2 linked regions of the Caenorhabditis elegans genome follow. The protein of the gene in region 1 interacts with the protein of each later gene in a pairwise test. Each region holds a gene or a part of one and is shown in the gene's direction. Other genes may lie near its edges. The genes, in order: nab-1 and sad-1.

Evidence for each region.
Region 2: the proteins of nab-1 (region 1) and sad-1 interact in a two-hybrid assay, tested with the Caenorhabditis elegans proteins (one study listed by BioGRID).

Annotation. Positions count from the first base shown.
Region 1 is NC_003279.8:4,221,597-4,239,930, forward strand, and holds nab-1 (Neurabin-1), read left to right. Parts: upstream 1-7,980; 5' UTR 7,981-8,072; intron 8,073-8,289; exon of another isoform or gene 8,290-8,291; 5' UTR 8,292-8,318; coding exon 8,319-8,411; intron 8,412-9,167; coding exon 9,168-9,263; coding exon of another isoform or gene 9,264-9,347; exon of another isoform or gene 9,348-9,546; coding exon 9,547-9,629; intron 9,630-9,977; coding exon 9,978-10,166; intron 10,167-10,899; coding exon 10,900-11,107; intron 11,108-11,475; coding exon 11,476-11,638; intron 11,639-11,884; coding exon 11,885-12,091; intron 12,092-12,289; coding exon 12,290-12,927; intron 12,928-13,116; coding exon 13,117-13,464; intron 13,465-13,923; coding exon 13,924-14,064; 3' UTR 14,065-14,444; downstream 14,445-18,334. Other genes in the region: C43E11.5 (Tyrosine-protein phosphatase domain-containing protein), read left to right, coding at 15,438-15,518, 15,795-16,103, 16,153-16,533, 16,578-16,832, 16,883-16,963; ndx-7 (Putative nudix hydrolase 7), read right to left, coding at 17,576-17,772.
Region 2 is NC_003284.9:13,493,862-13,508,988, reverse strand, and holds the start of sad-1 (Serine/threonine kinase SAD-1), read left to right. Parts: upstream 1-8,326; 5' UTR 8,327-8,436; coding exon 8,437-8,454; intron 8,455-12,844; exon of another isoform or gene 12,845-13,153; intron 13,154-14,093; coding exon 14,094-14,250; intron 14,251-14,509; coding exon 14,510-14,604; intron 14,605-15,127. Other genes in the region: H06A10.1 (DM13 domain-containing protein), read right to left, coding at 1-7, 1,049-1,177, 1,232-1,277. UniProt on the Caenorhabditis elegans protein: Regulates both neuronal polarity and synaptic organization when bound to strd-1. Kinase activity is required for the establishment, but not the maintenance, of both processes.

The DNA of each region.
Region 1 (18,334 bases):
TGTCGTTCTCTTCCAGTGGGGATCACTTTGTTTGTTCATTTGTTTTCGTTCGAAAGCGCGGATATGACCACTTCACAAATATTTCGGCCATTCGGTTGCCCATCCACATGTGCGTTCCAATATGTTTTTTTCTTGAAACTTTCAGGAAATATTGAAATTTTGTTTGCTACGACACTGGCCCGCAAAATGTTTTTACAGATGACTTTTTACATGACAGAATTTTCGGCAAATTCGGCAAATTCGCCGTGATCAATATACTAAACCACTAGTTTTGGACAAAATTTTTATTAAAAGTTTTTCATGTGTGCGGCAAATTTTAAAATTTGCCGAGTTCTTCAAATTCGCCCAACACTCTTGGTTCGTGTGAATTCATTTTTCAATCGAAAATATTTTCTTTTAATACATAATTGTTTTTCTCAAATTTAAGAAAACAATTACAAATACATATGTCATTCACAACTTTTGAAAGATATTTTATGGAAAATGAAAAAAAGAACACTGTTTGTTGTTGAAACTTACAAAAATAGTTTTGCAGCAGAACAATTCCAACAAAATTCCAAATAATTAAGATTGATCCCCAATATTTGAGGGAATTTTTCACTACTTTGGGAACTTGTGAAACTGCTCTAAATATACATTTTTTTAACACAAAAAAGTTCGAAAACCTTCAAATTTTTTCTGAACCCAGCACATGTTGAACAAAACCTCTAGTACATCTTTAAAATCTTCCCATCCCGCAGCTCTTTTCACTTTTTATAACAAAATGTGTCACGGAATGCATATTGTTCATTTTTTTCCCTCCCCTGCCACCGCTTCTTTGCATATTTTATTTATTCAACTTTTCTCCTTTTTTTTGCTTGTTCCTTTCCTCCTTATTTCTTTAAAGTAGATGAAGGGGGAAAAATAAGATAATTTGTATTCTTATTCCCATCTGGCGATTATTTTCGAGCCGCTAAATCGAATTTGAAAAAGATGAGATGAAGAAGTGGGAGAACATGAAGAAGGAGATGATGATGATGTGAGAGAGAGTGTGTGAGAAGGCGTTGAAGCAAGAAAAGAGCAGGTTGTTTTGATTTTGTACTATCAAACATAGTACTAGTTTGACATTTTTAGAAGAGCTGCTCGACTATCTATTTCTTTTTAAGATTTTTTTTTTTGGATTTTTGAATTCGTCGGAATAAAAAATGATTTTTTTACAAAGCTGAATGTTACGTACCAAAATGTTTTTAAACTTAACTTTTCCGACGGATTACTCTGGAAGTGGGCAAATTTTTATTTATTCTGAAAAAAAAAATTTACAAGAGTTGCCGAGTTTCCTGAAAAATTAGGTTTAGTCTTCAAATTTTCAGCTTCTTCGTAATAAATTGCAGCTTCAGTTTTCGTTTTTTTTCTATTTATTTCTTTTTTTCAAAATTGCATACCAAAAAATAAATCACAAAACCTCAACAAATCTGTCACCAGTTTCTCATTTCCCAATCCTTTTCCTCAAGAACATATGGTACAACACAAAGTGCTCTAACCCATCACTTGCTCCATTTTTTCGTGCATCTCCTGGTGTTCTAGCTCATTTGAGTCACTTATTCCGTTATTTATATCTATTCTCTATGCATCACTCAGTCTCTCATATTTCCTCAATATTTCTCACGTGCAAATGAATGACATCGTTTTGTGTCGTCGTTTGGAGCTCAATGGGAATGGAGCAAAATGTCCGGAGCGGCATTTTTAACTAAAAGAGAGAGAAGGTGATGACTGGTTATGACTGAGAATTGGCTAATTAGCTCGGAATATGAACGGGAAGAGCATTTAGCTTGTGCTCATTGAGCTGTCAATCATAGTATTTCAAAACGTTTTGTAGTTCATAAATAGGTTTTCTGAATTATTTATCATATGGTTCACGCCACAATCTCGAAATCTGACCGAAAAATTAAATTTTAAATTTTTTGCAGCCTTGTTAGTATGTTTTATTTTTAACTGCTTGAACAGTATTGAGTTACATTTTCTAATAAAATTAGTTGCTTTCTCAAGTTATAGGACTTTAGAAAATTAATCTTGCACCCATATAGACCAATTGAAAATTATTTTTTATTTTCAAATATTCTATTCAAATTTATATTACGAATATTGTAAAGTTGCTAGATATAATAATAAAACATCATAAAAATAGGTACTTAATTTTTTAAAATTTTAAGTCAAAGGGAAACTCCGTTTTCACCGCCCCAATTTTTGGAACTCGACACAAAAAACTGTCAGTTGTATATTTTAATTTTTGGCAAATTGCCACCAAAACTTTGAAAATTTTGTAAAATCTGAAAATTTGTGCAAAAAGTACCAAATTTTAAAGTAAAAAACATTTCAAGCAAGAAATACATAAATTATTGTAATGGTTTTAAAGTGATAATAAAAATTTCCAAATTGTTTTTTTTAACTTGGAAAATTCAAAATAAATCCATTTGCAAATTTCCTGTAACGGTCTATAATTTAAAAAAATTCTTTTGAAAAAAATTTTCCCTAAAAATTTGCAAGTGTTAAACTTGGTAAAGTTTTGAAAAAAAAATCTTAAATCTCGCCACAAATGTACCAAATCCACCAGAGCGGTGAGGTTATCAGTATTTGTCAAAATTCTTAAACTCCAAAATTTTGGCAATTGCTCGAAAAACAGCACTTTCTATTGCCGAAGTTCAGACTATTGCAAAATTTATATTTTTATTAAAATTTAACTCTGTTTGAGAAAAGTACTATAATTTTCCATTTATAGTGAAATTTTTGCATTTCCCAAACTATTTTTCAAAAGAAAATTCACAACAATATGCAGCTCGGCAGCTAAAATTACGGTAGGAGTGTGAAAAAAAAACGAGAGATGAAGTCTGTGATCTACTCACAATTTTTGCAAATATTAAGAGAAGGAAATAGGCGTTTAAAAATTTAAAAATTAAAAATTTAGTGGCTTCTCTCACAGATCTAGGCTTCCAACTAGATCAGTCAGTTAGTCATTTTTCCGTTTATTTTTGACGCGTTTTTTTCCGTCAAAACCTCCTATACATATTGAATTGGAAAGCAAAAAGGGCGAAAGAGAGAAGGACGAGTAGCCAGTGTCATGTCCACTCGAAATGGGTCTCTCCTTCTCTCAGAAGGCGCGAAGTGTATTGGAGCATGATTGGATTGTGCTCCTTTGCTGCGTGTGTTCCACCCGTTTACCACACCCCTTCTGTTCATTCTGGCCTGCAGGCAGCTGAATTCTGGTTATTCAACCCGTCTTCTCTCCCATCTAACCCATTGCTCCGTTCGTTGTGCTCTTTCTACCCTCACATAATTCGCGCGTTGTCCACTTCCCGTCCATTTTGTGTCTGCGTCTAGGCGTCAATATTCCAGAGATTATTACAACTCCCATTGCTCTCAAAACTGTTAATATGTCTCCGTCTCCTCTCTATGCCTCGGGACCCTTCATCTCCCGGTGACTCTCCATTCTAAATCCCGGCTTCTCCTTCTTCTTTTCCATTGGCTCTTTCTAATGCATTATGTGATGGAAACCCCGAGGCGCCGGTCGTTGTTGTGTTTTACGTAATCCCCCCTACCCTACTCGGTGATGCCATTTTTCGATTTTGTCATGTAAAAAGGATTCCACTTCCAAAATTTTTCGGTTTCGAAATTTTCTATTTTTGGCTATTTTTGTTTTGCTTTTAGAATTTTTAGGTTCTCTGGAAAAACCAGGATTTTACTAATAATGAATATTTTTTCTTAGATCCGATTTTTCGTTTTCGCGAAAACTGGCTTTACAAAATTAAATGTTTTTAAATAGATAAATAGCTTGGTCACCAATTTTTCTAATTCCTAATTTTTCAAAAAAAAAATTCAAAAACCGCTTAGCTGATTTTCCAAGATTTGAAAAGTTTTGGAGGTTATTACCTAATTTTGCAATGCTTGGCATCCGGTCTCGAAGCGACTGATTTATTAAATTCGAAAGAGCCTGCGCCTTTAAGTAGTACCGTAGTTGCTAACTTTTCGTGGTTGCAGAATTTGCAAAGGTTATTATCCTTACTATTAGTTTTTTTTTCTCGTTTCTTTAAAATTTGATGTAATATTTATACAGTTTCACATGTTTTCCTATTAATTTTAAAGGAATTGAACAATTATGTTTCATCGAAGATAAAACATTTCGAAAATTTCGAACACGATTGCTTTAATTTTATGTTGAAAATAATTTCCAATTGTTCCCATTCCCAAAAGACTCTCTAAAATTTGTTTATAATTTCTTTTCTCTTTTGAAATAAATCGATTGAAATCTGACACCCCTAGAAATTTCTGATGCAGTGTTCTAGTGCCAGATGACTCATAATCCTTCTGCGTTTCCCCTTATCACTTTACACATGACAATTTTTTTTGATTTTTAAAATATATTCTACTTTATGATTCATCAGGTTTCATTTATTTTTATTTTTTGGTGCAGAAAAATAAAAATAAAAATAAAAAAGCGACCAGACACCCCACACTTTTGACTCGTCACACACTAATCCAATGAATAAATCAGAAGACTAGCACATCCTTTATCTCTTTTTTTGTCAAATGCTTTTTTTTTTCAATTATTGTAATTGAAAACTCAAAATAATATTTTTAAAGTTTTTCTAATCTTTCTAAAGCTTTTGTGGTATTTACAAATATATTTTTGAAAATTTAATGTTTTCTGAGTATCGAAAAATCTAAATTTTCGATCGATTGTTTGATATTTTCGGTCATTTTTTAATTTTTTAAAGACAGTTTTTTTTTAAATTGAAATACAAATAATTTTGAAACCCCAATAGCTTCCCAGTTACTTTTCTTTTTAGAAAACCTGAAAACTGAAAATTTGAACATTTTGTCGAAATTTCTAATAGTTTATGCTTGTATTTAGTTCCTGAATATATTTTTTAAAATAAAGCTTTGAAAAAATGGGCAATAGTTCGAAAAATTTCCTGCTACATAAAAGAAAGTCCGAGCAAAAATAAATCGAAAATTAAAAAAGAAATTTTGACCCGAACGTACTTTGTGTAGTTTAATGTTTGAACAGTACTAGTAATAAATGTGTAAACTTGAATACTTCTTTCTCTCAGGTGACTAGTTTTTTATATTCTCAATTACCTGTGACTTTTCCAAAAACAGGGAGGATTTTATTCTTCCGCAAAGTAAAAGAGTCCATAAAAAAGAGAAACAGTTGGCAAATCTTTTCTCAATGTTTGTTTCTGTTTTAAAGTGTTGGTCAACCTCCCTCCATCACTCTTGACCATCATTAGCCGAAAGAATGAGTACAAAGTGAGCGCTTTGTTTGTAGTATTTTTGAATATTTTCTTGTAAGCTTAATTTATCAATTTCAAATGCTTTGACAGGAAGCTGAATATCTGAAAATTTAAAAACTTTGGCTGAAATTTCAAATTTAAATTATTAAATACTAACAAAGTAAGAACTTGAATTCTTATTTTCATACTTTTTGGCGGGAAGTTGGAATTTTTAATTTCAAAATTTTCAGTAATTTTTTCACAGCATTGCCGGAGAAATCTCAAACTTGTAGAATTCAATTGTTTTGACAGAAAATTCAATTTTCAAAGTCTCAAAATACTAAGCGGAAATTCAAAATTTAAGTGACTATATAAATTGCCTGCTTTCATACATGCTTTCTATCAAAATTCTTGCCCGAAAACATAAACTTTTAAAACTATATTTTAGAGCACAATTAAGATTTTAATTTTTCTGATTTTGATATCAATTTTATTTGTTTTTTGGACAGAAATCCAATGTAGAGTTTTGTGTAAGTTTTGATGGGGAATTCAAGTTTTATTCAATATTTAATTTTTGCAAGAAAGCCAAATTTTAAAATTAGCCTGTTTTTATTTTAATTTTCAAACCATTCGAAAATTCTCAAACTTTTTGGTCTGTACTTTTTCCCGAAAATTATTAAATTTTATTTCTTCAAAGTTCACATCTTTTGTCGGAATTCTTGTATTTTTATCGTCACCCTAAAAATTTAACCATCTGTCAACCCTCTCTATCTGAACATATTGCTCTCAAGTACATGTTTTCCTGCAAGTGCTTCTCCTAATTCATGTTCCATTTCCTCTTTCCGTCTGTTCTTTTCTCTAATCCTCTTCTACATTCCTATACTATTTCCACCTTTCCAATCTCATCAGAATATTCATCCAGGCGAAATGTTTCCGTATTTTTGATTGTTCGAGTTGATAACCTTTTCTCCGTTATACCTTTCATTCAATTCATAAATGTTTACTCACATATTGCCACTCCTTTCCCTGACTCATAATAACTGTACCCCCATTTTTTTGCAACGTTTCTTTACTTAGTTTTCTTTCTATTTTTTTAATGGTTGCCACACAATTTTTGTTATATTTTCTCCGGATGTTTTCCACTGGCTTCCAGCCCGTTGCGCACTTTCATTCCGGCTCGTTTATTTTTGTAGACATCGTCAGTTTCTTGACATTTCTTATTCTTAAAAGTTCAAAGTTTATTGGAACTTGAAAAAAATCAGAGTTTGAATTTTAAAAATTTTTTTCAGCATATTTTTTGCAAGTTTAGAGATTTTAAATTCCAAAATTGATTTTTGCAGAATTTTTTTGACAGTTTTTTTTAAACTGAAAATGTAGTACTCAAATCAATAGTAGCCAAAGCAATAAAAAAGGCTTGAAAATATATTCCCACCTGAAACAATTTGCGCTCGGAAAATTTAAATTCAGCCAATTTCAGCAACCTTCGTCAATTTAAGAACACCCTCCAGTATAGAAGCTGGGTTTTTTATTTGCAAACTTATCTAGAATGCTGAAAGAAAACTCGAAAAGTATTGCTATTTGTTCCAGATTTTTCCATATTTTTCACACTCATTTCCCAAAAGCTTCTGGCTCCAAGTAAATATTTTTCCAATTTTTTGCCAGTCCGTAAATATATCTATAGCCTCCCTCGTCGTCATGTTTACATGCTCAATTCCATCCTCATTTCTCATTATTTCCTTCATTCATTCTAAAAAATCTTTTCTTAGAATGGACACTTTTAATTTTATATCTGTAAAAATAAATATGTGAAAAGAAAAGTGAGGAAAAAAACAAAGATTGAGAGCCCCCGTTCTGTGATGATTGATGAATGTCGGGTGTTTGAGAATTTTTCATCAAAAACATACTTTCCTTCATCTCTGATTTTTTTTTGGATTTTAAGGATATGTAGAACATTTTGTTTTCCTAATATTTCAAAATAAGATTTAGTTGAAAAATAAATTCAAACATCAAACCTTATTGGCCGACACCCTCACGGTCAAATTTGCCTATCTGATACCCTGAAGTTTGAGCTTATTTTTTTTTGGTTAAATTTTTTGGGCCAAAAAATCGGTGGTCCAATTTCGTGACTTCAAAAAAAGTATTCAAAAATACTAATTTTTTGGATCAATGTAGAGCGCATTTGCACTGATGTACCGTAAAATATGGCGAATTGATAATTGAATTCAAAAATGGTTCGGCTGTGCGGTTCAGATAGGGCGAGTAGAAAGGCGAATAAGAGGTGCCTTCCTACGTCTAGGAACACCTCGTATCTGTGATCTAACTTTAAATTTTTATCCCCAGAATTATTTGCGAAATTTCTGATTTTTGCGACAATTCTAATTCAATAATTGATTTGATTATATCGAGTCTAGACTCTCTATACTTTTTGGCACCTTTTCCCTTTTAATCTCCTTTTTTCTTCCACTTTCCTCTTGCCTCCGCTCTGAATCCGAATTTCGCTTTTCCTTCTTCACACAAATGAACGCAATCCAATTAGTCCTCATCCAACCACCCCGTCCGGTGCCCAAAAACCTGATCCTTATCACAGTTATCACCCGGGAGACGAAAAAGAATATAATTATGAATAAATAGATATTTTCACTTTCCCGTAAATCCTTCTGTCATTCCTCTTCTTCTTCTTTTCTCCAAGCCTCGGAAATATTCTAATCAATTCTGAAATTGAAAATCTCTTCAGAAAAGAAGACGTCGCCGGGACAACAACAACAGCAAGTGGGCGGTGCATGCGTCGTGCGCACCGCTGCTGATAACAAAATAGTGTGCGAGACGGTGAGTCGCAGACAAATCTCACGGGGGAATATCATTTCAGGTCATTCCAACCGGAGAAGACATGCGCGCAAAACGGTCCTTTATTGTTAAGGTTATGCAATATCCTCGGATATTGACACCCTTTCCCGTACCGCCCGTTCGCTCCTCAGTTCCCCTAAACTGATACGAATTATATCCGCTCCCCAACCTTTCCACCTTTTGAAAAATTCAATTTTACAGCTGCCTAATTCAATCCAAACAGCCGAGATGACAACGGCTTCCGAGCTGCTGTCAGACGACGCAAGAGCTCGATTCTCACATACAAAGGCTCTTTTTGAGCAGCTTGAGAGACAGCAAGACGTGAGTTTTTTTTGGATGATAATAATTGGTTTCCGAATTTTGAAATCATTTTGCTATTTTGCATTACGGTTATTTATTTTTCTTGAAAAAACTCACTAAATTGTGGATTAGAGCATATATTCCAGAATTTTTATGCAATTTTTCGCAAAATGATTTTCCTGGCTATATAGATCAAATCTGTAGCTCCCTATGAACAAGTTTTGCCTGCTAGTAGATTCTTCACTTAGGCCTTCAAAGAATAAGTCCCCTCTCTTGATTTGATCTATGAAAATTGCTGGAATTTTGCTCACAGGAAAAGTGAAAAAGTATGACGTCCCCGCTCTTTAGATCACCAGCTGAAAAGTCTGCGTCTAAATTTGGCGAAGTTTTCGGAGATCATTCGGAAAAGAGATACTCTGACTACCAGTTTCTGTATCACTTCACAGCCTCACGTTTAAGAAATTTGACGTCACGTCTGAAAAATGTCTGAAAAAGAGGTTTCCCTATGATCAAGTTTTGCTCAACAATTATTAATTTGGGTCAAAAGTTGGAAACACTGTCGACTTGATTTAGACTTCTACCATATTTATAACTCAAGTTTTGTTAAACACAGCTTAAACCCAGTATTTTCAAAGTCTTGCCCAAATTTTGCCAACTTCTGAGCTAATAGTAAGCTAACTTTTTCAAACATCAGATGCCCGCCACGCTTTTTCCAAAACAAACTCTAAATTGGGCAAGCAGACTACTGTAGTGTCAATTAAAAAATAATGTTTCTAGGTTCCATCATTCTACTCTCCACGTCTTCAACGTCAACCACCACCTCCATTACCCCCAAAACCTCCATCTCAATGTCCGCCGAGTCCGATGTCACAGGTATGTGTGATCAAACAATCACATGGCTCTCTTTCTCTCTCTCTCCTTCTCTTTCTGTTTTCTGGAAAAAGAAATGGAATTTAAAAATTCAAAGACTGTGTCAGTTAGTCAATGTTTTGTGTCTCCAACACCCCCGTCTCTGTTATACTGTTCGGTTGACTAATCCGCTCATCGATAATAGATTCAAAAATAATGGCATTTACTCATATCACACACACACTCCTTTCCCCCATCAGACACACACGCATATAACACATAATCGAAAACTCGAAAACTTTTCCAGGTCGAACGAAATTTCTCTGATTTGGCCGCGGATCTCGATCGGATCCAATCATCGCCGGCAACGTCTAGGTTTATACAAAATAAGTGAGTTGTTTTTTTAAGGATTTGTTACCATACCATAACTTTTTTTTAATTCTCAAAAAAATGTAACTGTAATTTTTTTTGATCAATCGCAATTTTCTCCATTCGGTTCGCGGGCCAAAGTATTTTAATTTTTTTTGGTAGTTACAAAAAGTCGCCTGCAACTAGATTTCAGAAATTCTAGGAAACTGTGCGAAATTCAGATAAATTAGTTGAGAATTTTTTTAAAGGAACTTTTTTGAATTTTCAAATCGAAAAAAAAACCAAAATCTCTGTTTTTTCTTTAATTTCAACTAACATTCTTCTTTGCTTCATTATCAGCTTCGCATGCCTTTTCTTTTTCCAATTCAGATCATCAACTCTTCCGTCATCATATTCCGATTCCACACAGCAGTATTCGTTCGAAAATACGGTTGCCACGTCGCAATATGGAGGACTTCAAACCAACAACAATAATAATAATATTAATATGAATTCATTTGAACCCTATTGGAGAAATGGATCAATATATCGGAGGCAATTCGAAGGAAATGGCAAACCGTATGTGTTTCGCTTCTTTTATTTTTCTTACTTTCTCGCATGAGTTTCTTTATTTTTCTCTATAATAGTTTTTTTTCTTGCGCTGAAGTATTTTAGTTGCGACTAACAAATATTTGTGTTTTTTCGAAAAAAAATGTGGCCTAGAAAAAACCAGAAACTTGGCCAGCATATTTTCTTAGATTTCTCATTCGGGATTTTTTTTGAATTTGCTAAAAAAAAGATCCTTGTGACTTTTCCAAAGTACAAAACTAAAAGTAAAATTTTTGATTCATTCAGGAACACGGTCTTCTTTGGATCTTTCAGAATAGTGATGGCACATAATATCTTGAAATTTTCGAATTTTTCAATTTGAAAAATCTATTAAGATTACAGAAATTGCTAAAATAGCGTGGCCGAGTTTTCTCACATATCGGCTCGTTGGAACCGTAAAAACCCTTTTCAAGCCCATTGTTGGCAAGCTTATGAAGGATCTATCGTAACCTTAAGTTTTTAAAAAACCGCACTGTGTTTGTGATAAAAATTCATTTAGTGTGTCTAGATATATTTTTAGAACGCCGATTTTTTATCGGACATTCACATTTTTTAAAATTTAAAAATTTGATACGATTTGCGCCAGATTGTTTTTTTAGTAAATTTAATATATGCAGGCACCTGAAAAAACCAATCATTTCATGAAAATGAGTTGCTGTTAATATAAATAATCAAATTTCTTCGATCAAAACTTTTTTTTCAGTTTTGGCGAGGAAAACGATGGAATCTCACCAACGACGAATGGAGTGAAGCACACGACATACGCCGTCGTCAAAACACCAAAGGAAACAGAACTTGAAACAACATCAGAAAACAGAGGACTCATGGAAACACGGAGGGGTCTGAGTCCAGAGAGGCCTGACGTGGATTTAACGAATCGAAAGGTCTCGTTCAGCACTGCACCTATTCCGGTAAGATCACCCACTTTTCCCATTCACTCATGTTTCTTTGTTGTTGCAAGTTTGCTCTATGGAATGTATGATGTTCAAAATAATTTTATACTTTTTCTAGGCCAAGACAGATTGAAACGTGGCCGAGAAAAATCTTTTTGAAACTATCAATAGAGCAAACATGCATTCACTGAAACTTGACCACCACAACCTAACATTTCCTTTTGTTTACATATATGTGGCAAGGTGATATTAATTCATTAATAGATATATCTATACAATCTCGAATTAGGTCACCTTATTGATATGATAAGAGATGAGGAACAAGAGAAAAAGAGAAAGAGAAAGCGATCTTCATTTGCATAATATCTAAACGTTTTCACTTTCAGGTCTTCTCGGCGTTTTCCGTTGAAGACTACGATCGCAAGAATGAAGACATTGATCCGGTGGCAAGTTGTGCTGAATATGAATTGGAGAGACGACTTGAAAGAATGGATTTGTTTGAAGTTGATTTGGAAAAGGGTGCCGAGGGACTTGGAGTCTCTATTATTGGTTAGTGATTGTATTGTGGCTTACCATAACTTAGAAGCCTTGTATCTCGGTTACAATCGGATGTTGCTCACAGTTTCTGTTTCATTTTTATAGTTGGAAACTTTCTTTTCTCGGCATAACCAAAGATAACCGAGATATAAGCGCTTAATTAAACTTGAAGGAATGTCAACCTGAAGCTACTGTTTAGGAAAAAATTATATGCTTTCTGCCTGCCTACGGTTTTCGGATAAATTCGTTATGTTTCAGGTATGGGTGTTGGTGCAGACTCGGGTCTTGAAAAGCTGGGAATCTTTGTAAAGAGCATCACACCTGGCGGAGCTGTTCATCGAGATGGACGAATTCGTGTCTGCGATCAAATTGTTTCAGTCGATGGAAAGAGTTTGGTCGGTGTCTCACAGTTGTATGCTGCAAACACGTTGAGATCCACCAGCAATCGAGTCACTTTCACAATTGGTTGGTTTTTTTTGGAGTATTGTGCCGAACGCGTATGATATATTGCATTGATGACTCCGTGAAATAACACAAATATTTTTGTGTGCAACAGCGACTCAATACACCATATTCCGCGCAAGCGTAGAGAAAAAAAGCATCTAGAAAATATTTCAATTATGTTTACCAGTTATCTTCCAATTTAAAAAAAATGTATTGCAGGTCGCGAACAAAACCTTGAAGAATCCGAAGTTGCTCAGCTAATTCAACAAAGTCTTGAACACGACAGAATGAGAATGATGGGAGACGAGGAAGACGATATCGAAGAGCCGCCACCACCACCATCTCAAATGCCACAGCTACCAATTGAACAGGATCGTCCGACAACTTCAATGATCACAAAAGAAGAAATTGAGATTCGTTCGAAGATTGCTGCTCTTGAACTGGAACTTGATGTTACTCATAAGAAAGCAGAGCAATATCATGAAGTGTTGAGCTCAACGAAATCACATTGTGATCAACTGGAAAAGCAGAATGAGCAGGCAAATTATATGATTAAAAACTATCAGGAAAGAGAAAAAGAGTTGTTGAATCGAGAAGAGAATCATGTGGAACAATTGAGAGATAAGGATGTACATTATGCATCATTAGTTCGTCAATTGAAAGAACGAATTGATGAGTTGGAATCGAAATTGGAAGAAGCTGAAGAGAGAAGGCATTCTATTCAGAATCTTGAGCTTATCGAGTTGAGAGAGAAGTTAAAGGAGAAAGTTGAGAAGAGGAATGAAGGAATGGCGTATAGACCAGGTGGAGAGCTTCCTCACGAGGATAAGGCTGTTATGGTTAATTTGGAGACTATTGTAAGTTGGAGAAAATATGAAAGAACATTCATCTTCAAACTTCATTCTAAAACAGTTTTCACATAATGCCTAAAATTAAGCTTGAGCGTAGGCCCTATGCCTAAGCCTAAGCCTACGCCTAAGCCTAAGACTAAGACTAAGCCTAAGCCCAAGTAAGAAACTAATTATAACACCCATTTTCATTTCCAGACTCCATCAACCAAAAAAGATGCGGAAGTATCAGTTGGAAGTAGTTGGACAGAAGAGTACTCATCACCATGCGAGTCGCCAGTCCCTCGTATCTCCGAGCCAGCATCTCCGGCTCTTCCACATAAATTGACGCATCGCAAACTTCTGTTCCCACTCCGAAAGAAGTACGCCGAAAACGAGTTCTGGCGTGCCACGTGTCAACCAGTTGGTCTTCAAGCTCTTCATTGGACGGTGGACGATGTTTGTCAGTTGCTCGTTTCAATGGGCTTGGACAAATATGTGCCAGAGTTCACCATTAATAAGATCGATGGAGCCAAGTTCCTCGAGCTCGACGGAAATAAACTGAAGGTGAGTAAGATGTATACGATCCCGGCGCAAGAAAACTCGGGTAGAAAAAAAAAACGCTGCAATTACATAACGAAAAGTTAAACTATTTCGTAGGCACCAAGGTGCTAAAATTTTTTAAACTTTTCGGTTTTTTGGGTAAAACCGAGAAAAAGATTCCTGAAAATTCTGAAATGAATTCAATATTTATGTTACACTCTATTTCATAAAAACAACAGAAATGTCACTTTTCGAGCAAGAGAGACTGAACTTTTGTTTTTGATTTTTCAGTTTCTTGTGCCAAACCCAAAAACCCTTCAGGTCTAGTAGGCACAGTCTGCCTACCTGAAAAGTGCCTAGAATATACAAGGCTTAAAATAGGTGCATTCTATAAACCTTATGTGACGTCAACTTTTTCAAATTTTCCACAATTTTGGGAAATCACACCACTTGAAATTGTTTATCTGAATCAATATTTTTTAGGCAATGGGAATTCAAAATCACTCGGATCGTTCTCTAATTAAAAAGAAAGTAAAAGGAATGAAGAATAAAATTGAAAGAGAACGAAAACAGTTGGAACGAGAAAGCCGTACCCGAGTCATTGCACACACAATTCCCATGTGATTTTTTCTGTCTGATTTTGAAAACTATTAAATTATAATTATTATATTCTCACTGCGAAAAAGTATACGAAAGTCTATGGTTGTTTTCTATATATATTTTTTTTCGCAAATGTTATCCATTTCTCAAGGTTGTTCCAAATCGCCAATCCATGGGTTTCCCTTACTTTTCCCCTAATTTGTTCAGTTTTTCAACGCCTTTTCTTTCCATTTCCATCCTCATAGATTCTGCCGTAATTCCCCCTTTTTCATGTTGTCCACCAAAATTTATTTATTTTTTCCCTCTATTTTTTCAAAGATGCACCACCAAAAAATTGTGATATATTTTTCTGACACTTTCCCCCTCACTAACAATCATTTTCTGACCAATAAAACATTGATTTTTATTTTAACTATCAGCTTAATGTTACTTTTCCATTCTTCCTGGCGAGACAATCTGATGAAGGAGATCAAAGTGGATGAAGAAAATGATCCTCATTTGAAAATAAAGATGTTCTACATTCGCATATTTTTATTTACCTTTATATTTTTCAGATCGAATAAACGGTTTTCAATGTTTAACAAATTTTCAATAATTCTCAGTCTTTGGGAATTTTTGTTTTTTTTTCAGTTTGTTTTCTAATATTAATTTAAATAAACTTGATTTTTCTTTTTAACAAAATCTTCAAATTTTCGGTAAATCTATTGGTTTTTTTTTCAATTTTCAAATTGAAAATTTTCAATAACTTTCGGTCATTTCTCCATTCTTTTTGAAGCAAGTTTCATTTTTTTTAAACCAAAATTTGATTTTCAATTTCCATTGAACATTTTTCTTTCTTGGCCAAAATTGAAATTTTCAATAATTTTCAGTTAGTTCTCAATTTTTTTAAACGAAAATTCCGTTTTTTTTCGAAAATCAAAATCGACAAATTTTAGATAAATACGTATTACTCATAGAACTCAAAAAATCTAATCTTCTGTTATATCTCTAATTCTTCGAAGAAAAAACATGTTTTTTTCACCAAAATTCGATTTTAAAAATAAATCGAAAATGTTCGCTTTGAAATTATTTATTTTTTGGTCAGAACTGTAATAGATTTTCAAGAATCAGGGAAAACGGGATCTCTTTCCGTCCGGATGACTAGTCTCAATAATGATTTGAAATGTACAAACAATTTCTGATCAAAATTATTTTTTGCCTTTTCACTCACGTGATAACATTTCAAAATTACAAATTGTTGAAGTCAGTCTAGCGACCTTCTCGTGGCCCCCTACTGTATTTGTTATTCTTTCCACGTATCTTCTCCACATCCACATCATAATTAGTCAAATCAATTTATTCTGAATTATTCTTGTCTCCAAGGTTCAAACAAAAACTCAAACGAGAACGGAGTTATAATGGCACCATCAAAGTCAAAGGAAAAGAAGGATAAAGCAAAGACAAGCCGTCGCAAATCCGGATCTCAAGCCAAGAAAGATGTAAGTTTGATATTTCAGCACAGGATCAGGAGACTTTTCTTGATCAATTCCTCATATATTCGCATTTATGCGCTAGATGAGCACACAGTTAATTTGCGATGGATCCATTGAGATCAAGGATTCACGCGCGCCTTGTTGCATGATTTCGTGGAGCACATGTGCATCGTGCGTCCATGATGTCAATGCTGTAAGGTTCCTGAAGAACACATCGCAAATTAACTGTGGATAACTTTTAAAAAATGAGTGAGAACTTCAACTACGAGAATTTCATTTCAGACAACAAGCACCGTGTCTGAAGGACAATCGCCAACTGAGGTGGCTGATCAGCTTTTGAAAGCAAAGAGTCGCCCTCAAATGTACGACCTTCTAAAGGGACATGCTGCATTCAATGTGCCGGAATTCGTCAAGAACCTGCCGGTAAATGTTCGTTTGCCGATCCCGATTAGAGATAATCGGCGCGTTCTTTGCGGATCCGATGAGGAGTTCTTCCCAGGACAGTACGTCAGAATGGAAGGAGCTGAGTACATCATTGTGCAGGCGCCGACCAAGAAAAGCTCAAAGCTGATTTGGAGAGTCATTCTAAAGGTTTGTTATTTTGTTGAATTTTTAAACATCATTTCAAATTTATTTTCAGGATCACATCAGAATTCTTGTGTGCTTGTGCCACGACGAACAAATGAGTGGTTCCGATGATGGAAAGTGCTATACATACTTTCCAACTGAGCTAGAGCAGAAAATGGAAGCTGAACTGATGAAGGGAACTCTTTCCATCGTTTGCAAGGCTCGTGAAGGTCTTAGCATGGGAGCAACCAAGTATGAGCTAGAGTTGACTGATAGTGAAGTTGTGATCGATAAGAACAGCGATGATCCGAATGCATCGAACTATAAAAGTCACCGACTCATCGTTTTCCATATGAATACTTGGTCTGGACAGAAGCCAACTTCCGGGAATGCTTTGGAGCAAGCTCAAAACGTGGCTCTTTTCTTTCGTGAGGTCAAGAAGTTTGAGATGGACGTGAGTTGAAACTAAAGACTGCTGCAAATAATAACAGTTAATAGATTCTGCGTAAAAGTATGGAAAACTTTGTGCCACCAGTCATGCTCCAATCATTCGATGGCATTAATCGTGCATCCACTGGTTGGGTTGCTTTGATGTTGTTGAGAGACGTCGAGAAACGAGAGTGTTTTGATGTTCCAAGCTTGATCAAAGCAATCATGAAGTTTCGAAATGGATCCATCTCCACCTACTATCAATTCTGTTTCTGCATGGCTGTTTGCTTGAATATCGGAAAGGATACAAATTGGTGCGCAAATGTGAGAAATCTCATAGGAAATAGTTTTCTTTAACAAAAATAACATTTCAGGATTGCAGCACGGCACTGACTGATTTGATGGAAAAGTTCGGCAACCGTAAACTGAATGAACTCGGGAACTTGGCAGTCTAGAGAAGAAAAATGAGCCTGAACTGAGAACTATTGCAAAATAAAATGTTTGTAGAATCGTGCTTTTCTGTTATTTTTCAGTATTTTCAGCAGACTGACTATGAAAATCTGGTTTTTTTTAATTCTACACTCTGAATGAGTAATAGTATTTTAGTCTCGCCACGAAAGTTTCCTGCAAAAAATTGATAGTGTTTTGCGCCTTTGAGGTTACAGTATCCAAACCCAAATTATTATAACATTTCAAAAAGTTTTCGCGACGAGACCATTTCTATTATCCAATGAGGCAACTAGAAACATCAAAATGGAATATTGTAAGTTCTCAGTATCAAGGAATTTGAAGTGGCTTGTGAGAGGATTGCACATCTTTCGATGCACCATATCCGTAATTTTAATGTGTTTCAGAATGCGAGAACTGGCGAACGGAATCAAGACAATTGAATCAAACCATTCTTCCTGGCAAGACAATCTGATGAAGGAGATCAAAGTGGCATTGCGTAAATGAAGAAAATGATCCTCACTTGAAAATAAATATTTTTTTAATCAGCTTTATTTTTAGAACATCAACTATTAACCTAGAAATATACACCCGAACTAGTAATAAAATAATTCAATTAATCACAATAAATCCTTCGAATGTGTGTCAAACTGATGGAAGGCTGCAATATCCGCTGGTTTCAGTAGGTGCTGGTACAACCGAACTTTTCCATACATTGGCTCCGAATAGTAGGTGGCGCGATGAGTTGGTTGAGTTGGATCAACGGTAACACGATCAGCAGACATTTGACGGAGCGGTTGTTGCAAGCTGTTTTCATCTGAAATTAAATTAAAAAATTAAATTTCGTGGGAATTAGTTTGGAAAACTAGGTTGAAATTGGGAAATTGTTCGATTTTTCTAGGCAAAGCTACATAAAGCTTATTTAAAATATTTAAAAACTACAGTAACCTAATAAAATTTAGCTCGTGGTCACGGCCTCTCTTCATTTCAAAAAATAAATAAATTGACGTGATGAACTGTCTCTGCGTCTCTCATGGGCGAGAGAGTGAGCTTTTTGAGCCGAATTTGTACTGAAAACGGTAAAATAGACCGGAAACGGCTGATAGTGAACAAAATCTAATAAAAATTTACTAACTGCCTGATCAAACACATATAAATTATATGAAAAAAAGGGCAAAATTGTAAATCACCTATGAATACGCCCACATGTGAAAGTTCAAAATCAGTGATTTTCCAGACAAAACTGTTTAAAGCCGGCGATTCGCTGATAAATCTTTAAATTTTTTATTAATATATTGTCAATTAAGACTAAGTGTGTCTATTTTTATGCAAATATCTAGGTTAGTGATGTTCACGACGCCGGCAGACGGAAAAACAAA
Region 2 (15,127 bases), on another chromosome or scaffold:
GGAAGATCTGCAAAGGTAGCTTTTTTTTCTGTAGTTTGGCACACATTGTGTTAAACCATTATGTTTTTTTTTCGAGCAATTCAAATTTTGCGCTACTCCGTTAAAACATTGGAAAAACATGTTATGTATTACATAGTAACGCGTTCGAATATTGACAGGTATACGGCTGGTTTATCGGAAGTTCGGCGACCGGTTTTGGAAATTTTAAAATTTTTAGAGGGGTTGGTTTTCTCGGCGGCCGACAATTTCCGAGTTTAGCCACACCTTAAAGGTGGGGTACCGAAATCTTTGAAATATTTTCAAATTACTCCAAATTTTCCCCTGATTCCGAATATCGATGTGAAAAAATTCAAAAAAGTTTCCCTGATTTCATATTTGAGCTTAAAATCTCGATTTTCATTTGTGCACCCATGAGCTTTTTCAAATTTGCGCCGAAATAAATTATCATTGGAGCGCGTTTGCTTCATTTCATTTTCTCCACATACTTTTTTTTTAGTTGTTCAGCTATTTTTATTCATTTTTGTTGTATATTGTCAGATTAAAAAAATATTCTTTCGTGCCAATTGAACATTTTATCTGCAGAAAAATAAATGAAAATAGCTGAAAAACTGAAAAAAAGTAAATATATATGGAAAAAATTGAATGAAGCAAACACGCTCCAAGGATAATTTATTTCTTCGCTAATTTGATAAAGCTTATTGCACAATGAAAATTGCGATTTTAAGCTCAAATACAAAATCAGAGAAATTTCTTGAGTTTTTTCACATCGATATTCAGAATCAGGGGAAAATTTGGAGTCATTTGAAAATATTTCCCAGAATTCGGTACCCCACCTTTAAACAATTATGTGATTAATTATAGTCTGTGGCCAAACTCGAAAATTGTCGGCCGCCGTGAAAACCTACCCCTCGGAAAAGGTCTATCAAAACCGGACGACCGGGCGCCAAATATGCCAGCCCTAGACAGGAATTTATTAGAATTTAAATAAGATTCGAAATTTTTTTGTTTTTCCACAATTCATACTGATTTTTCGAGAAAAAATTCTTACTTGTTTTTGTAGTCCTAAAGTTAACAATTTGTAAATGTGTTGAGTTGACAAGAAAAACTTCTCCTTCCACGTCACTCTCACTGAACTCGCCCAAAGAAACTCCGTTGTACTCAATGGCACGTATGACTCCTGAAAAGCAAAAAAGAAGAATAGTGTCAATTTGCTTTCAAATGTTTTTCTTACCTGAATATGATATTATGAATATAAGAAAAAATTCGCTGTTCCGCATGTCAATAGAGAGAAAATCAAGTAAGTTATCTGGATATAATGTTGAATAGAATGATAACTATTGGTCTTTTGCTTCAAAGGAAATAAAAGAAAAAGCGTTGCTTTTCTGACCTATATGGCCAAAAACTGGTCAAGTTTTACTTCTCTGCTTTAACCCTAAACAGCTACATCATTTGTCGAGATGAGACGAAAGTGAAAACAGTTTACTTTTTTATTGTCTCAGTTCTTCTTTTCCAAATTGGAGTACATTGTAATGGTTTTGTTTTCTGGTGACTGCAAAACCATTTCAAAGAAGGTTCATCTCAAAACACCGGCGATCGGTAAATTGAATAAATGTTTCTATTATTTTTGTTAGTAAATAACGTTTGGATCATTGACAGTTTGAAATATTCTTGAAACACGCGCGCTAACGTCGTTGCATTTTTCAAATTGGAATAAACGTTTATGCATATCAAATAAAAATTCACAGTTCAAATCGCTACCAAGTTCAAACAATCTTGATACATTTTTTATATGATGAAAAATGCGAGGTGTAGCCAGTGACAACCTACAAAAGCTACAAACTAAAGGTTTGCTTTTAATTTGATATCTGTTCCACATTTAAAATAATAGTTTTCCTGAATTCTGTAAAAATTTGAATACAGTGTTTTTGGAGCATTTCGAAAAATGTGAATTTGAAAAAAAAGTTGTTCACAATGTTTTATAACAGAAAAGTTTATATTTTGGCTAGGGAAAATAAAATATTTAAAATCTAAAAAAAAGATGATCCATATCACGCTTACGGTAAAATGTTTGAATTGGGTTTTATACGAAAATTGCTTTTTTTTTTCAAAAGCTAGCCTAAAAACCTCAGTACAAAATGACATTATGACGTATAGAAGTTCAAAGAAGTTCATAAAAATGTTGAGTGTCTACCTAAAATACTACTAGTGATAATAACAGTGTAAGGCGCCAGAACGCCTGCCTCGCGTCGCAAGCCGCTTCTCTTGTATAATGCGGCACGGAACCCGAAAAATGTCGACCGCGGCCAAATAACCGCTTTTAGCACTACTCCAAGCCTTTGACTGGAAGCCCTGATCTAAAGACTAAAATAAAAATATTGTAAATAAACCTACAATTATTCTACAAAAAAGTATTTTCAAACTTTACTCCACCTGTATCAAATGGTTTTCATTGCGTTATTTCTTTCGAAATCGCTTCAAAATTTCAAATATTTCCAATGAACACTAAGCTTGGGCGTTCAAGCGCACAGACGAATTCAATAGAATCCAGACGAGTACCAAAAACAACCAGCTTATTATTGCCCAGAACCAGAACCTGCTAACCCCTCGGGCATCGAAATCGAGCAAAGGGCACCTAGAAATTTTTAATGAGATTTCCCCCTCCTGCTTTATTCGCTTCCCACGTCTTCCGTTTTTTCTTACTCCTCTTCTCACCATCTGGAGGCATAAAATGGTGGACGGAAAAAGAGCAGATGTGCTTCTTCTTCTTCTTCCCACTCTGACACGCTCCCGGATTACATCACCCTGCCATTCGTCAAACCCGATTTCCATTAGTGGTGATGAAATGTGTAACCCAAATGAAAATGAAATGGGTGCGCTCTTTTTCATCGTTTTTGTCGTTTTATTGATGTACTACTGAGATTGCACTAACGGTAGTGCTTTTTTAACTTGAAGTTTTCACCGGAACTTGGTTGGTGTAACTTTGAACTTCATAGTTATGGAAATCACGCAAAATAAATTTTTTCAAATAAAAAACTGTAGTGTTGTAAAACTAAAAGTTGTATGAAATGGTTTCGTTCATTTTATAGATTTTTTTTTGTTTTTCTGAGTAACATTGGTTAGATCTGGTTAGATCGTCTTGAAGAATTTCGAAATTTCCGCGTACTTTTGAAGTTATATACATTCTTCAAAAGTTGGCTGAATAAATCTAGTGAAGTAGCTTCTATGCTGTAAAAAAAACAAAGGTCCATACGTTAAAAAACTTGAAATTCTGTATTTGTTCAAATTCGAAACTCACCTACAGTAAATCTGAAAAAAGTATTTCTTAAGCTCACTTTGAGTATGTTTTGGCAAAACTTCCGCTAGCGCTATGTTACAGGTTACACTCCTTCGGTATGATTTTTCAGTTCAGCAAAAAACAAAAAAAAAAAGGTTTTCCCCATTTATCACTGTATTTTATCTTCTTGTTCAATTTTAAAATTCCATTTGAATCTTCGAAAGTAAGCTGGTTTACGAGAGTGCCGCCCGACTCATTTAGCACTTCTGAGCTCCCGCCGTGCTTCTTCAGCTCCTTCCTCTTCTTCTCCTCTTATTCAATTGCGACGAAAACGAATGAGAAGACAAAAAATAAGAAGAAGAAAACGAACTGACAGACGACTTCTTCACAAATTTTCACATTTTCTCAATTTTTTCGAGCTCGACGACATTTCTTCACATTCTTTCACTTGAATCAAGTTGAAGCTTCATTTTTTCGTCTTTTTGTTTTTGTATTGAGCATCAAAGTTTAGCCTACTCAAATGAGCAATAACCTTTTTTTTCAGCTGTTCAATACAAAAAACTATCAAAAAATATGCATTTTCTTAGCAAGTTTTGAAAATTATCCAGTGCTCAAAATTCTGAATATTAAAGGTGGAGTAGCGCCCATGGATTCTGTCTAAATACATTTATAATGACCCAAAACGACCGAATATCATAATAAAACATTCCAAATAATTTTAGATTTCCCATAATTCTCGGTCGAAGTTTTGGCAAATTGCCAAAAATTTTAAAAATATGAGCTTTGAGGAAATTCAAAGCTATGTCACATGTTTCGACCCTTACAATGTTTCAATACAATTAGTTAAACAAAGTTAAAGTATAGAATATTTAGGTAGAAATTTTTTTGGTAGACTTCCAAAATTAAGAGTAGCAAAAAATGAGTAATTGTCATTTTTTGACAGTAAATAAAAAAAATTTCAAAAATTATTTGAAAAGTTTTATTGATATTCAGTCATTTTTGGACCGAGGGAGTTGTTTTTAACAATTTCCCCACTGACGCTACTCCACCTTTAATGAAAACTTATGTATTGAAGAATGAGGGTTTTTTGAACCACTATCTCACTAAAATAATGAAAATCCAATTTTTAGTTCACCAGACATATCTATTAAAATTTACATTTGATAAAACTCATATTAGACCCTTTAGGCTCTTGTTAAGCTTTAGCGGCTCTCTCAAACTATTGTTTGCCTTCAATTCTATGCACTCTGAAAGAAAATAAAAAGACGAAGAAGAACTCAAATTTCAATCCATCCGTCACGTCCTCATCCAACTCTTTACATTTTTCATCTTCTGCACACTTTTTTTTGTTCACGTTTTCGCTACCTCCTAAACTATTCTGGGCTCGATTCGTTAAACGTTCTTGCCCATTGTTCTTACAACACTAAATAATTCGTACTACTTTTCGACGAACGACCTCGGAAACGAATATGTACATGTTGAAATCCATTTCTCACACATATTTCACTCCATTTCATATTCAACATGGAGCTTTTGCAACGGACAGGGTGAGGGGGAAACTAGCGACCACCACCTCATTAATTCGGGACCCGCGCGGGTAGCGAAGTGTCCGTGCTTCTTCCTCTTTTCCGGGGCGAATACTCTCCACTCCATAATAATGTCGTGTTTTGTCCCGTTTTGCTATTTTCTCGTCGCTCTCTCTCTGTGGGCTCTTCTACACTTTTCTTTGGCCATGACTACCCAACCAATTAAGTGACAGGAACGGGTGGAGGAAACTGAGGCAATGAGCAGTAAAGTACACATTTCCGGGAAAAGCGATTGTGTTGAAATTTGTATAACAAAAAACGAAAACCTCCAATATTTTTCAAAAGAATTACTTATAGGTAAAACAAAAACGACTCAAAAAACAATAAGGTTTGGGCGGAAATTAAAAACTGTTCTAATTTGAATCAATTTCTTTGTCAATTTCCACCATTTCGTTTGTAGCACAATATTAAAATATTAGGTTGAAAATCTAAAAGGTGGAGTAGCGCCAGTGGGGAAAGCATTAAAAACCACTCATATGGTATTAAAAAGAACTATTTATACAAAAAAATTATTCAAAAACTATTTGAAATTTTTTATTTACTGTCAAAAATGACAATGACAATTACTCATTTTTTGCCACTTATAATTTTAGAAGTCGACCAAAAAACAATTTTTTACCTACGTATTTTATACTTTATTTTGTTCAAATAAATTGTAATAAAACATTGTAGGGGTCATAACATTCGACATTGTTTTGAATTTCCCCAAAAGCTCATATTTTTCAAAATTTTGGCAATTTGTCAAAACTTTGACCGGGTATTATGAAAAATCTTTAATAAATTTGGAGTATTTTATTCTATGGACAAATGCATTTAGTTTTACAAAGGATTTGTAGTCAACTAAAAAAATTAGTTGTTTAAATGTAGTATATCCATGAAAATATATGTACAGCAATAGGAAAAATTTTTCAAATATACTTATAAATGTTTTTCATGGCTGAATAGTATCACACTCATATATAACGTTTAAAAATGCTTATTGAACGGTTTCACCAAGTTACAAAATTTGGGAAACATTTTGGTGTTGTTGAAAAATTAGGAACATAGTTAATTAGGAGCATGTGTCATATACGTGTGAACAAATTAAAAATATTTTTCTGAAATTTTGCGGACACCCAAATTTTAAATATTCGGACAATTCCGTCAATTTTGTTTTCAGCATTTCGCCAGCCATTTTGTCATTAGTCTGGTCTTAACCACAGAAACACAACAAGATTAATTTCTGTTGACTCATGAGTTTGCAATTACTCTGTTGTGAAATAGCTGAAAAGATATTTTTTTGGAAAATTGTTCGATTTTTTGATAAAGTCAGTTTTTGTATGTTTTCATTTTGCAACATGAGAAACAAGTATGTACATAAATGATTATTCCATTCTGATGGAAGCTGCTGACTTATTCTAGCAGTTCCGTTTTTTTCTTTTTTTTCAGTTGTGGTGTGGTTCACGTAGTTACATTCACTGCATACTACTACTTGGATAACACAGTGAAGTCCCCCCCCACCCCGCTCTTCTTCTCTGCTCCTCGTCTTTCTCATTCTGTTCCTACTCGCATACCCTATATTCCGTAAAAGAAAAATAGGAGGAAAGCCATGTAGAGAGCATGAGCATGCCAAATTGAGAGTGAGAAAAGAGCCCAAGCCTTCTTCGTCTTCACTCCCACAACGGCTTATCGTCCGTGCTATTGAGTAGGCAGGCAGCGTTGCGCGACCACGCTAGCCCCCTGGAGCCACTTCTCCAAATTTTTTCTTCTTTTTCTCTCTTTTTTTTTGTTGTTCTTTCACGTTCTAATTTCCTTAGTAGTTTGTTTTTTTTCACAAGTTTTATTGCCTAATTTCATTGTCTGGTTAAAGAGCAATGAACATTGAATGAGTTTTAAAAGTTGAAGAAAAGTAATGAACCTGAAAATTATGACACGCAATGAGAATTTTGATGGGTGCAATGTGCACTCAGAAAATACTTAACTAGTTGAGACTCTATTCTAGAAAATTAAGAAGACTGTTCCAACGTGAAATATATTAAAAGTGGAGTAGCGCCAGTGGGTAAATTGTTAAAAACTACTTTCTATGGACCCAAAATGACCAAATATCATCATAAAACTTTTCAAATAAATTTTGAAAATTTTTTATTAACTGTCAAAAAGAGGCAATTACTCAGTTTTGCCACTCATAATTTTAGAAGTCGACGAAGGAAAAATTTTTCCTACGTATTTTATACTTTGTTCAAATAAATTGTAATAAAACATTGTAGGGGTAGGAACATGCGACATTGCTTTGAATTTAGTAAAAAGCTCATATTTTTCAACATTTTGGAAATTTGGACACAATGTTTATGAAATAGTGGTAATTGATAAAAATTAAATTCCAGACGCTGTGACACCAAGAAGTTGGCAAAATATTTGATTTTAGTCGAACATGAGCTTTGATTTCCAGAATTTTGAAACGTGATAACTTTTTATGAGTACTTTTCAAAATTTCTTATTACATAATTCGGTAGTTTTGGGGCATTTTTGGTTTAAAGTCGCAGATTTCGGTACTCCACCTTTTTTGATAATTTAACACAATTTTGGTAATCACTTTCTATTATTTTTCCTATCAGTATTGCATTCTCCTATTAACTGAATTGAAATCTCGGGGCTGAAACTTTATTTTCAGCGGTCTTACATGAATCAGGATACCTAAAATTTTAAAACGTATAAAAAACTCAGCGATAATAACTGAAGGTTCAGAATTTTACATTCTCGCAAATTTTGAAGTACGTTTTTTTTTAATTAAAAAGAGTTCCATATTTACAGTTGAAATCGGTTCGTATCAAATTTTAACAAATACGAAAGAAAATTCTCGTATAGATCGTTTTCAGTATTTTTTTTCTGAACTTTCATTATTAAAAAATATTTTCTCAAAGTTCTTTTCCTCAATTTGTCGCATCAGATATATTAGGATTTTAATTATATTATACATATTTTATTCAATGGCCTTCAGAAATTATTTTGCATTCTCTAATGTAATTGCGTTCCCTAGGCATCCAGAATAAGTATTGCTCCAGAAAAAAATACGGTATAAAAACCATAACCAAGACTACGTTGTTGGCATTTACTATATCTGGAAAACTAACAATTCTTGCGAAGCACTCCACTAGATTTCCTTCCGATTCCTCTTCTCCAATTTTTTATTGATCCTTTTTTTGTCAGGACCACTGGGGGGATGGATGGACTTCTTTTTCCTATCCCATCCCTCTTAACGGGCCCTTTCTGATTCTCTCGAAGCCTGTGCATCTCTCACTTTTTTTAGTGAGTACTCCCCAGGGCAGTAGCAGTGCAAAGAGCTGTGCTCTGTGTGCATTGTGTACTGCTAAATTCCTGCCAATTCATTGAAATATGACAAGTTGGGTTTTTCTCGCATTTGAATCGTTCTCTCAACGTCACTTCCAACATTTGTACCATAAACGGAAATCAACACTATAGATTTCAGAACCAGGAAAGCTGCTCAGGAGCAGAATCAAAAAAAATCCCCGTTTGGAATCCAAGGAAGCTTAAAACTTAGCCGCATGACTGCGCTCGTCAATCGGGCAAAGTCTGCACATGTTTGAAGCTCTCAAGGTGAGTACAGATTTTTTTCTGATTGAGTGGGTTGTTCTAAATTATGATCAAATGTGATGTCACTTTTTTTAAAGTTTAAAAAGACTCAGACTTTGTTAAATTGTACAATTTTAAAAAAACTTGAAAAGTACTGATCACTTAATACCCTTAATGATTACTTAATAGTTATTAATAATTTTAATGCACGGTTCATTAATATTATGCAATTGACAATTCAAAAAGATAATTATCTTCTAAATTAATAGTTTTCCAAAAAAAAAGAACACTGTATTGAAAATTTTGAATATAGTTCAAATTTTGGTAAATGCGTAACTTTATTAATCATTTGATTTTCTCACATTCTGTCCCTCAATTCTAATAATCCATTCATTTCGCCGTAATGACGTCCAGTCGACTTTTGATTCCACGTGTTTCTGGGTGCAAAGGAAGCCGCCTGAGCCCCGCTTAATCCGCATTGGGAATAGTCTGGAGCATTTGCTCCATCGTCATGCTCTTTTTAACTTGAATTTGGGGGGAGGCAGGCAAAACTACATTATTCAGTCACGTCCTACTTGTCCACTTTCGCCCATTTCAGAGGCATTTTAATGATAGGATTGGGAGCGGTTTTGGTAGATTTCTAGTTGAGATTACATTTAAAGCGTACGATTTTTGTTTTATTTTTTGGTGGTTTTAATCATTATCAGTTTTCGATTGGGAAAAAGCCTGATATCCAAGTTCTCAGAAACGTTCATAATAATTATAGACAATATTGGCAAAAATGCTGTGAGTTTTTTTAAAAATAACATTAAAAAATAACAATAACAAAATCTTTTTGAGTGTTATACATTTTTTGTTAATATTTCACATGGTTTTATGCTTTTATGCCTATTTCTTAAAATACTTTTGATTATGGCTTTTGAAATAAAACCTTTTGAGGACTTTTTTGAAAATCGCCAAAACAAGTTTTTAAATAGAAATTTGTACTCAAAACGCGTCAGACCGCTAACGTCAGTGACGTCTTCCTTGTTCTTTCCACCTGGCTTAATATACACAATCAAAATATTTTCCTGTAAAAAAATCTATATTATTGAAGCGTAAGAGCTAGATTTGATAGTTCCATTGAGAATAATTCAAAATTAACCAACCTATCTTTTTTTCTCCTCAATTCTAAATCATATTGTTTTCTGTTATTTGTTTGAGTGTATTCCAAGAAGAGGAAATAGATGAAATTGGAAAAACGAAAAATGAAAGTCCGAATTTGAATCTGAATCCACGAATCTCGGAATCCCGAAATTGAATTTGAGCCACCCCTCTGAGTCAGAGAGCCCCCATCCCCTCGGCTTTGGCTCTTTATTGTATCATTTTGCCAAAGCCTTTCGAGTTCTTGATTTCAAAAATGTTTCGCAATTTCTGTATAATAAGTAATGATATAATATGTAAAAACCAGTATGAAATATTTCCATTGCATTGTTTCATACTTAAGAGTCGTGAAATTGTTCCAAGTGAGAATTTACAGACATTAAATGATTTGACGATTGTCTAGAGGTACGTGAACACTTTGGCGGGTTTTTTTTGGGGAAAACTGTCAGAGAAAAGTAATCTGAGCATTTTCACAAAATTTCCGAACTACTTTTCTCTGTTTCCTAGTGCTCCTCTGCTGCTAAACATTTTTTATAAGAAAAAACCTCTCTTGAATCCCCCAGTTAATACGTTTTCTCATTGACGCCACATCATTTTGTCTTTAATTCTCTTCCAATTTTGGCACCACCACCCACTACAAAAACCATCGGGGGATGAGGTGAGAGAAAAAGACAAAGAGCGTGGGGGGAAAAAGGGAAGAAAAAAAACGAAACGGATGAACTGACATTCGCAAGGAGAAAACGAAAGCGAGCCGTATACAACACACTATTCTAAGCCCATTCGAGCTTCGGCAGCTCTGTTGCACAGACAACGAACCGAATCAATATTAAGACGAACAAAGTCAGTGAAGAAATTGAAAAGGATACGGATACCTCTTCCTCCTCCCCCCCCCCCATTTTTTTCCTCGTTTCCTCCCTCTAATACATCTTCGCCTCTTTTTCTCAAAGTGCCTCCGGTGTGCCAACGGTGCTTCTCACCCTTTTCATCTTCTACTTGACGTCCTTGAGAATTGAATGAGGGAGGAAACCGAGAATGGACTCTTATTATACTAGCTTTCCGGCTCCTATTCCCAGCGAACCTTGCTTTGTAAGTTTATCTTTTTGTCATACCAAAATTGGACTGAAAATCGGAGCACCGTCTTGACTCATCTTGGGTAAAATCGCCTGTTTTGTACGGTTTTTTTGTTCAAAATATATCTTCGTATGAAAATTTATTTCTACCCATTGTTTATCTAAAACTTTTACCAAGATGTTTGTTACTGTTCACCGTTTCTATTCTAAAGTGTCGAATTTTCAAATCTCATAATTTTTGAAGAATTTTCGAATGTAGAAAAGTATTTCTGTTTGGTTTTATCCTGATTAAGCTTCTATTAGTTAATTTTAAAGTTTTTTTTTTTGAAAAACCTAAACCTTTCTTAGTTATCGTAAATTTTGACTTCTTGATCGGCAATGATTTGGAGCACTTGATTGCAATGGTAGAGTTAGAATTTGCTCGATATTATATTGAAAAAAATTCCAAAACACCCAATTTGTAACGATGCCTTTTGGAAAATTAAAAAAAATGTTTATGGCGGTTCAAAATGTTGTTTTCTGAAAACTTTGAAGTTGGCTCAAAGGGGAAATGATTTTTAGATTTTAATGATATTTGATCAGTGTGACACAGAAACATCATAAAACGCTGATTCAAACATTCTCAGGTAAACGCTACTTTGAGAAATTTTGATTTATGTCAGATTATCTCACCAGGTACAAATGTGCATTGGTACCAGACTGCACTAGGGTAGACTGGCAAGTTTTGCATTAACATTGTATATCAAACTTAAATTTTTTGGTGTTTTCGGTTTTCGGTTTTCGGTTTTCAATTTTCCATTTTGCACGAGTTTTTAGCCGCATGCAAAAATTTATGCGCAGCCGACATCAATGGAGGTCCGCAAGAAATAGCTTGACCTCTGAAAACTTGTGTCGCCCACTCAATACTAGTGAAAAATATATCACCGTCCCTTTGATCCAAACTTTTTTTCATAACTTAAAAAATGTTTTTTTTTTCGAATTTCCGCATTCTTGGCAGATTATACAAAAATATGAAAAAAAAAACATACCCTCTCGTCATAAAACATTAAAATTTTCAAAAATGATGAAAATAAAATTGAAGGGACACTTAATTGCTGGTAGACATCGCAAACATAAAATGAGAGAAAAAAACGGGGCGAGCTCAGTTAGTCATCTCGTCGCCACGCCATTCGCGGTTTTCTCATATATTCATGCATCGACTACCTGCAATTTTCCATACATTCGCTAGCTAGTGCACCTCCCGTTATCGTCGTCAAGAAAAGGCACTACGGAAAGGGCGGCGTAGACGTGCTCTTTTGTTCTAAAAACCTCTAAAAACCTGACGAGTGCTCGACTTTTTTGTTTTTGTTTTGTACGTCCAACGCCTAGTTGTGTGAAACTATATTACTGCTGCTATTATTATACATTCAATATTTTTCGTATGTTAAAATTTGTCAGAAAGTCTACAAGAAGTCAATGTACAGTGAGTGTTATTTCTCTAACTCAGTTTCAGAACAAATGCCCTATGATTATTTCTTTTTACTTTTGTCTGTTCAAAAAAATAAATATTCTAAGTTCTAATAGCCCTTTCGGCTGAAAGCACTTCAAATTTTACAAGTGCTGAAGTAGTACTAAATATCGTAATTTTTTATAATTTTTTTTGTATTGTTAATTTTTCTAGATACTTTTTCTTAAAGCTAAGTATATTTTTTCAATCTCAAATGCTTACATATAAGTAATTTTATTTTTGAAACTGAAATTGTATTTTCCTTAAAAAATGTTTGGCTGAAAATTTTTCTATTTCCAGTGGAGGAACTGGTATTCCATAGGAAACTAATTGTTGACAGCTGTCTGAAAAAGCTAAACGCGTAACGAGACTTGAAATTGTGTAATGGAATGCTATTTTTTGTGTTCTCGAGTCTGGAAATTTTTATTATTGAAAATTTTTAAATCTCAGTCCAATTCAGTAGGCATAATTTTTGTACAGCTACTGCATTGAAAGTAAAAAATCTCAAATTTTTATATAAAAAATCTAAAAAATCTCAAAAAATCTCAAAATTCCTGGAGCCCCACTCCCGAAAAAAGATCTTCCCTCTCTCTCTCTCTCTCTCTCTCTCTCTCTCTCTCTCTCTCTCTCTCTCTCTCTCTCTCTCTCTCTCTCTCTCTCTCAATGAGAAAACAATTGGGATAAGAAGCTCTCTTGGCTCCATCGTGAGGCCCATGCTCTCTTGACACCATCATGATAGTTATTTGCTTCGGTTGCAATAAAACTAGTACAGAATAAATTGGTGGCCATAGAATAGAGTGATGGAGGCTGGAAAAGCTGGCGGCTTGTTCGAGTAGAGGGACATGACAAACGGAGAGGATGGGGCGTGTTGGCTCTTTTTCTTTCCCGCCTTTTGTTTTTCAACGCGCCATCACCACACCCTCCATCCCAAGCCTACCACCCATCTTCCATTGCTTCCCCCCCCCCCCCCCCATTTTTTTTCCTTTCAAAGCTTTATGGCCTCTTCATTCATTTGAACATCTTGTATCAATAAATACACCAACTTTAAATTGGACTGTACTAGTAAGAGAAATGTGCATTGCTGAGACGCTATAAATTTTATTTAGGTAACACTTTGCCTCAAATTATTGATTTATAAAACTGTTCCCATGCGAAATGATTCCTCCATTAGTATTGCACCCGACTACTTAACTTTGAAACGTAATATCTAAGTTCATTTTGAAGACATCAATATATTATTAACAACAAAATGACAGAAAAACAATAGCAAATATTTTGTTATTGGACTATTTTCGAATAGGACAAACGATAACTGAGATATAAGCTGACAAAGTTGAACAATGAGGTGCAATACTAATATGGGAAATACGGTATATATTTTTTAAAGCTAACGGATATAAGTACCAATTTTTGTTAGTTATGTAGTTCAAATTGATTGTTATAGTAACCACCGCATTGCTCAAATCAAATAATTTTCAAATAAAAAAAACTCGGCTAAAAATAACTTTTAGTTCTGAATTGAAAATTTAGTTTTCTCAAGGGTAGCAATTTTTACCACCCATATATCTGTCATTATCAACTTTTCATTCCAATTTGAAAGCTAAAAATTATGTCCTTAAGAGTGTTCGAGAACCTTTTTTCGTGGTCAAAAATAAGTCTTCATAAAGTTTTACCCTGCACCATCAAAAAACAATTTTGGCCCATAAACTACTAAAAAGTGACTTTTCATTAAAGTTCTCCCGGCAGCCAAAAATTTTGAAAATGTTATCAAATAAAACAATAAATTCCCATGACATTATTAATGAAATACAAGCTATTAAATAAGTTTTAATATTTGATCCGGAGTTTACTGTCACGCGTAATATGATAATTGTGCATTTTTGGTAAAAGTCCAATATTCTTAATACAATTTAATTCAAAAAATTATTTATTGCTCATCGATTTCAAAACAAACATTTTTACAGGAAGTCCTCGGAGAGATAAATAGCAAACTGGCGGCCGTGAATAATGAGCTGAGCTCGAAAATCATGTCGGAAAACATTGTATCGACGCGTCCAGTGGCGCAGGCTCAATATTGCGGTCCATACAAACTTGAGAAGACGCTTGGAAAAGGTCAAACTGGTAAGCGGTTTTCATTCAGTTGTTGACCGAGTAATTTAAGTTCCAAAAACTGCAATTCTCCCATGGGGCCTAACCCCAGAGTAGCATTTGCTACAAGAAAAATATAAGCAAGCTTTGGAATATGCAAATGACTGTTTTGACTCGAGGGCTCTCGGCTGTCCGCTCTTATTTATGAGCGAATTTTGAGCCTCTTTTCTTAGCTTGAACTGTTGAATGGAGTTGGACGGGAGCTGCAGAAAAAATACATGTATTGTTTCAGGGTTGGTAAAAACGGGAACTCATTGCATTACGGGCCGTAAAGTGGCAATCAAGATAGTCAACAAAGAAAAACTCAGTGAATCTGTTCTACAAAAGGTAATATTTTTAGTTGTTACTTCAAATTTTCGATTAAGAAAATGATTGCTATATAGAAAGATAATATTTAAATTTTAAAATAACTTGAATGTTCTTATGTTCCAATCAAAAATATTTGCTCATATATGAATGTTCACATTCGGCGCATATTCTGCAAATGTTTCCCTTGGTGTAGATGCCGTACAAAAGAACTGTGAACTCTCAAAATTTTGTTTCCGTTCCCATGTTCTTTGTGATTCCACGTCATCATCATCATCACAGTGTGTCACTTCTTATTCAGTCGCTAATCCTCTTCCGGCTCCCCGAGCACATATATACCCTGTGCAACGTATTTTTTGCTCCTCTCGAAACGGCACAAAAAAGAACGAAACACACACACACACACACAGGGTTCTTGAATGTGTGTCTTACGGATGCTGTCATTTTTCAACCAATCGCCTTTTCTCCTCTTTTCTCCCGCTTTTACATTTGTCCTTTCTCGTCTTCTTCATCTCGAAAAACGCTGTTTTCTTTCTATTCGGCG